Linked DNA regions of Arabidopsis thaliana. The protein of the gene in region 2 purifies or fractionates together with the protein of the main gene of each other region. This does not show direct contact. Each region holds a gene or a part of one and is shown on either strand. Other genes may lie near its edges.

Region 1 (3,630 bases), on a different chromosome or scaffold from region 2:
TTAATTCTTACAAAATTTGTCTTTGATTATAACCAACGACCAAAGACAGAAAACTCTCTCATTTCTATGAAGGTTATAGTTGTTAATTAACGTGTGAGGCGATATCCCTACTTACACATGCAACGTGTGTGTTACCCAAAATCGAATTTACAAATATACACTTTTCACTAAAATTAGATTAGTTCTCGTTAGTCTTTTACTAAAATAAAACAAGAAACATATTACTAACTAAATAAAACCATATAGTCTCTCTTTCTTCTTCCTTGTCTCTCTCTCGCTCATTATTGATCTCCATTGTCGTAAGGAGATCGCAAAAAAGCCATGAGCCTAAATTGTCTATCATGTCAAGCCCTTCCACGAACAGATTCCAACAAAGATGTTGATCTCTCCGGTCCTGGACCACCAAGGGTCGAGATTAACAATGTTCTAGGTAAAACATGTTGTGTAAATCCTATTGGTGGGAGAAATTGGTCAGGGAATTTGAGTCCTAGGATCTATGAGAAGATTGGACGGCCAGGATCGTCTTTAGCGCATAAGATGAAGAAGGTGAAAAAGATTCATCACGTTAGGCTAAGTGGTCCTGTTGGTTCTAGCCCTAGCAATGTACCAACCCGGCCGGAACAACCAAAGCTCGTAAGGAGCACTGGAGTCCGAAGGAATTGGAGTTTTGAGAATTTGAGAGATCAAGGATTAATAGAAGAAAAAAGGAAGATTAACATATGAATATATGATCAATGATTGATCATGATTCTGAGATTTTATATAAATGTGAGAGGATAAAGCTGATTACATATAGTTTCAAATCCAGATTCGTGATTATATAATCGTGATAGAATATGTGAGATGTATAATAGTATTATTTGGACGACAAAACGTTTCCATTGATTTATTACTTGTCACGTTTTGTTCTCTTTGAATATTTGTTTTTATGTTTCTTTTTTGTCTTTGAATGAAAACGTAATTTCATTAAAGTGTTTTGTTTCTTTTCTAAAATCGTTTTCATATCTGTTTTCGAGTTTCTTGCGTAACACGAGAGATCATCCTTATTGGTGGTATACTATTCCATCTAAATAGCCAAATTGCATAAGCAGTAAAGCTTTTGCTATCTTTCAGAAAATTATTAGTAACCAACAAAGCAACAAAAAATCAATCATAAGAGAAACAAGAAAACTTATCTCTAATTCTCTAAGAGTATTATGACTCGACTTAAAAGTTAAGTAAATCATCATTACAATTGGGCCTACTTTCGCACTGCGTAATTTCGAAATAATTAATACACAATTGACATGGCAGATTTTGTTTCGAATCGTCATGACATATACTTTTGTGGTATAGCTTCGTTTCTTTAATCGTTATCCATATCGGCATATCGCTATATAGTACAAACTATACCATTGCAATACAAGATATACGGTTTTAACAATCACACCAATCATAAAGTAATATCAACGTTACTAAAACAATATTCTCAGCTATTTCACATCGCTAGTTTAACGATAAGAGATGTAACAGTTCTACAATTTTTCGACGATCTATTAGATTATCAACACTTGTATAATCAACTTTAGTCTGATCAATCGTAGTAAAACCATGGTATAAAAAATACGACTCCTAAATAATCAACTTTAGTCTTTAGTCATATTATAAACACTAATCCTCAACTTGTTTACGTATGTATCCTAAATTCCTAATTTTAATCCACTTGTTGGTTGTATCTAGTAAAAAATCGAATAGTTATCAGAAACTAGTTTTAAATTAAGATTTAACAACTTAATGGAGAGAAAAAGAGAGACAAAAAGTCAAAGTTTCTTTTTTAAAGCCTCTTGTTTTGTTCTTCTTCTCTTGTTTCTTCTTTTCCAATCTTCATTTTTCCAGTCAAATTCAGAAAACGCGTAAGTTCTCTTTCTCGTTAAAAGGGTTTGTTATAAAACCCTTGATTTTACTTGTTTTAGAGAGGTTCTTGGTTTAAATCTTCTTGTGGTTTAAGTCTTTGTGGTTTCTCTAATATTTTCTTCCCAAGATTTGGATTTGCTCTGTTTTGTTTGTTTGTTTCAGTTTTAATAATGGATGATCAGAGTAATCGTGGTAATGATAATCATAATAATGATCATCATCATCATCATCTTGGTGTGAATAAGATGGGAAAAAACATTCGTAAAGATCCACCAAACCAACAAAATCAACAACAAAACCCTCAAGCTTTGGTTTACAACATCAACAAAACCGATTTCAGATCCATTGTTCAGCAGCTAACCGGACTCGGTTCAACTTCTTCCGTCAATCCTCCGCAAACAAACCATCCAAAACCTCCAAATTCACGGTTGGTTAAAGTTAGACCGGCTCCTTTGACCCAACTCAACCATCCTCCACCTCCACCTCCACCTCCACCGCCGGTTCAATCAGTTCCAATTGCATCTGAACCGGTTCAGCCTGTTAACCAATTTTCGAGTAACCCGGCTGAATCTCCCATCTCGGCCTATATGCGTTACCTAATCGAATCAAGCCCTGTCGGAAACCGAGTGCAGCCACAAAACCAAAACCCGGTTCAACCATCAACCGGTTTATTTCAGTCACATCAAACCGGTCCTAATCCAATGTCGTTCCAGTCTCCAGCTTCACAGTTTGCTTTGTCACCGCAGCCAAGATCACCATTTCCTTTGTTCTCACCCAATTTTGCATTTTCACCTCGGTTTTTAGGCGGTAGTAACGAATCGCTACCACCGCCATCACCGGGTTTTTTCTTTCCATTGCTTAGTCCATTATGGAAAAATCAATAGTTGAATATAGTAGCAGTGTATTAATAATCCTGATGGTGGATTAAGTGCTCCAAGTTGTAAGCATTATGTAATTTGAAATAGCTAGAAAGAAAATTGCTCATTTCATTATGTATTTGACTGTTGATAAACTAAGGCCAATATCGAGATTCAACATCAATGTGTTAATCGTTTTTTTTATCCTCATGATGAGTTTAGATGCAATTTTGTTTGGGTTGGCTGATTTTATAACCATAAACTAATTGCATTCTCAGCTTTTACCTTAACACTTTTTGCCTCTTAAATTTCCACCATAAACTTTGATAATTCTTTAAATTACAACATGTACTTTCAGATTCATCCTTAAACATACATTTCCAATTGAACCAGTCATTAAACCGGGAATAACCACAAATCCGCGTTTACTGTACCGCGATTGCGATTTACTCGATTACTCACCTATATCCGTTAAGAAAAGGGTTGACTGATTTTATAGCCATAAACTAATTGCATTCTCAGCTTTCCCCCCTCCACACTTTTTATTCCTAAAATTTTCACCATAAACTTTGATAATTCTTAAAATTGCAACATGTACTTTCAGATTCATCCTTAAAAATATGATTTCAATTGAACCGGTCATTAAACCGAGATTAACCACAAATCCGCGTTTATTATACCGCTATTGTGATTTACCCGACTAATCCCACACCCGTTAAGAAAACGACGTCGTTTTGTCTTTGTTTTATAATGTGAATCTATCTATATATGTTATGTGTTGTGTTAATTGGTAAGGAAAATGACAAATCGAACTAGATAAAACTTCTAATCATAAGGATAGATAAGACTCCAAATCAATCAGTCAACCTAAATAATATCA
Region 2 (3,757 bases):
TTTTTTTTTGACAAGTAACAAAATTCACCAGATTTCTTATTGGAAATTATTATTTGACAAATGTGAACAACTTCACCTTGATCGTACCATCGTACTTGGTCTTATGAAGAACAAAGAAGTTTTCAAGTTATAACAGATAACTATGTAATTTGAATTTGACTCCATAGTTAAAGAATATGATGGGAAAAAGGACCAAAACGATTCTGATTATAGAAGAGAAGAAGAATTTCATTATAATACTTTTGAATTCATACGGAAACATCATTTCTCAACAAGAACCAATACCTTTACATATAAAACGATAAAAGATAGAGAATCTAAAATGCAGAGTTTGCAAGAGAGCCATCTTTCAAGCCTTGTTCATGGAGCAGATGACATAAGAGACTTGGCTGGTGAAATCAGAGCAACAGCACCTCTTCCAAGTTTCGAATACTTCTTCAACACACCACGTAGCTTGCTCTCCCCCGCTTTCGAGTGAATGAAAGCTAAAAGCTTTGAGCAATCCCTGATTACACACAGAAACGCACATAGAGAATTAATATACAAACAATATGATCACAAACTTGCTAGTGTAAAGAATTAAGAAGACTAACATGAGCTGAGATTCGGAGTAGCCTGTGTGGAATTTCAGTGTATCAGTCCAAGTAGGAGTCTTGTTCAAGCAACACCTTGCTGTGTAGACCGCTGATGCAGCAAGCATGGAAGGACAGAACATTAAACTGTCGTGATGCATCAAACCCAACTCAGCTAGAAAGTGAACCAAGTTCTCCAGTTTCTGGTCAGAACCCGAGGCTTTAATAAACCTCACAAGGAACACATACTGTGTTGGAACTGTCAAGTACCATTCAAGATTCCCCAAAATGGTTTTCTCCATCACTAGAATCTGTCTGCTGTTGTAGGAGTTATCAGTCACATATACCAAATCATTGACCTGAGGAGGCCAGATTTCTTCGTACTTCGAAGCTATAAGCAAAGCACTAACACCTACAAGCTGTAGTTCTCTTCTAGGCACAGTCTTCAGAGAAAGAAAACGATCAATTATGTTGACAGTGAGGTAAAGAGTCTCAGGGGAGAGATCAAACTTGACATGAACTTCTACAAGCCAATCAATAAGGATTGATCTCATCTTCTCATCAATCTCAGGTTGTGTATGCATATACATCTGAGGTTTGCTCTCATTCTGCAACAAAGAACAAAACAACAAACTTAAAGAAGACATTCACATAACTTATCCATAAGCATAAACAAAAGAAGGTTTCACTGTAAGTGTACCACAACTTCTTTGTAGAAAATGTACATATCCTCAACGTATTCCACAGCAGCAAGATCATTTTCTTTGTCGACATAATCAATATCCAAAGTCTTAGAAGCAGCCTAAGTGTGTACACCAATCACAAAACCAAATAATCAGAACTTTGCACATTATGCTTTCAATGTTGAACAAAGAATCTACCTTGCTTCGAGCATCAAGAACCGAAGAGTATGTCACTTTCTTCTTGTTCTCTTTAGCTTTAGCAACCTCGTTTGTATCAGGACTTATCACAATCACTTCGATTGGTTTTGACGGCTCACGCTTATCACCTCTTGCTTTCTTTTGAACCGCTCTTACAACTTCTTGTTTCTTAGTAACTCCATCAAGAATCGGAGCCTTTTTGTTAGCGGCGGCTGCAACTTGTGCGTTTTCTAGCAACTGAGCACGAAAGTTACGAGTAATGGGGCGGTTAAGCTTTCCTCCTTCGACTCCAATAAGAGAATCGACGTTTCCAATGTCGCCAAGAGCACGACGATTCTTTGCTGCTGCGTTTTTGAGGTCGATGGGATCACCTGATAAATTTTAACAAAAAGCAACCTATCAAGATTTGGATCCTTGGAAAACAGATTTGTAAGCAATCTTTGATAACATCTAAATAAAAGGATTCATAGATGAGAGTTTTTATGCAGATCCTAGAGTTAAAACAAAGATTCATCAGAGGGGAGAAACAAACCTCTAACTGGTTGAGGATGAACAACTGGTCCTGTCGCCATGATTTCTGGTGTTTTCAAACTCTCTGATTACTCCAAGATAAGGGGTTTCTAGATGAGAAGAAGGATGATTGAGATTTGAGAGAGAGCGCTTAAGGGATAGAGAAGAGAGGAGGAGCCATTAAAAGCATAATCGCAACGGTCAAATTATTAGCGGGATTAGACTTCTAGCCGTTGGATGATGAACTTTAAATCTAACGGTGGATAAGGAGGTTTTGTCTTATAGGATTGTGAAGATTCACGCCTTTCACACACTTAATGACAAGGTCCGAGTTTTAATTACTGGTTTATTTCTTCCCATTAGTGACAAGTTTGGAGTTTGATTTCTTCCTATAATTGGTTTTCTTTTCTTTTTTAAGGGAGTCAAAGCAACGTTTAAATATTGTTATCACCTTATTAGCACACCACAGTTCATGTAAACGATTAAAGATTGGTCGTTCGTTTTTTGTTTGAATTTATATTTTATATGAACCACCTTACAAGAAAGGTAGCATTCTCACTTTATTAATATACCATTGTTGTAAGATAGTGCTTTTTATCCAATGAACATGGGTCTCTTAATTAAATCACAAGGCCACAAAATTACTTAATGCAATTTAGTAAACTTCGAAATAAATAACTCTATGCTTAATCTTGAGGTTACATAGCAATTTGCAAGTCACATCATTACAAAAGGGATAAACATCATATATCAACGCAAACTCCAAACAGATAAACAATCAAACTGTTTTTCAATGGCGTAACTACAATATGAATAAGTAAAATAATTATGTAACACTCTATAAAAGTTAACTCATCATTATCAAACATTTCGCAGACAATAAAACAATATCGAGTTAAAACCACATAAAGGAGATATATTGGATTGAACATAGAGAAATGGGAGATGTCAGATAAATTGCCAAATAGAGTTTTTGAGGTCATGATGAAACCATTCGCACATCTAATTGAATCATCATCCATTTACCATTCCTCCAAATTACAGAAAAAAGAGTTGACGGCGAAGTCAGATTATAAAATGCCAAATAAAGTTTTTGAGCTCATGATGAAACCATTCGCACATCTAATTGAATCATCATCCCTCGCCGTTTTTCACTTCAAAGAAACAACCAACGTAACAAAATTAAACGATCGTGCAGTCTGAAAAACAATTCCTCAGATTACAAGAAACGATGCTGCAGATTATAAAAAACACAAAAAAAAAAAACTAAATTGCAGAACAACCAACCCTAGACGATGACGGCTAATAATAATCGCAAGGATATATATATGAAAGGGGTCTCTTTTAAAATTACGCTTCTACCCTTATGAAGTTCATGGGCTTTTATTATCTGAAGGGCCTTCGGACATTATTTCATGACCACGTGTTACAGTTGAACCGTTCTTTGTTAATCTCTCGAAGCTAATCTAGGGATTAGGGAACATTCACAATGATGAATTAAACTTTTTCCTAAACATGCGAAACAAAATATTTTGGCACTTAGTTTCAGGAAAAGATTCACAGTGATGAATAAAACTTTTTACAAACATTGAGTGATACAAAGCTTTACAAAAAGAGGGAGAAGAACACAACTTTCTTAACCACTCATAGTAACCTCATCTTTTCTTCACACTCTCTTTCTCATACGAATCCAATTAGTAATTCACGAGCAGCAACATCTACGTTACCAGTCATCATCGAGACTAGCCCGGTGAAAACACATGACAGTGCAAATGAATATGAAGAATGATGTGA

What was found.
Region 1: the proteins of CYCB1;3 (region 2) and AT5G46780 purify together in Arabidopsis thaliana (affinity purification with mass spectrometry, with the first as the bait; one large-scale study listed by BioGRID). This does not show direct contact.

The regions. Positions count from the first base shown.
Region 1 is NC_003076.8:18,977,173-18,980,802, forward strand, and holds AT5G46780 (VQ motif-containing protein), read left to right. Parts: upstream 1-1,780; 5' UTR 1,781-2,063; coding exon 2,064-2,777; 3' UTR 2,778-3,011; downstream 3,012-3,630. Other genes in the region: AT5G46770 (uncharacterized protein), read left to right, coding at 322-723.
Region 2 is NC_003074.8:3,625,115-3,628,871, forward strand, and holds CYCB1;3 (CYCLIN B1;3), read right to left. Parts: upstream 2,160-3,757; 5' UTR 2,026-2,159; coding exon 1,986-2,025; intron 1,825-1,985; coding exon 1,454-1,824; intron 1,375-1,453; coding exon 1,273-1,374; intron 1,181-1,272; coding exon 594-1,180; coding exon of another isoform or gene 536-593; exon of another isoform or gene 506-535; coding exon 361-505; 3' UTR 172-360; downstream 1-171. Other genes in the region: AT3G11530 (Vacuolar protein sorting 55 (VPS55) family protein), read right to left, coding at 3,687-3,757.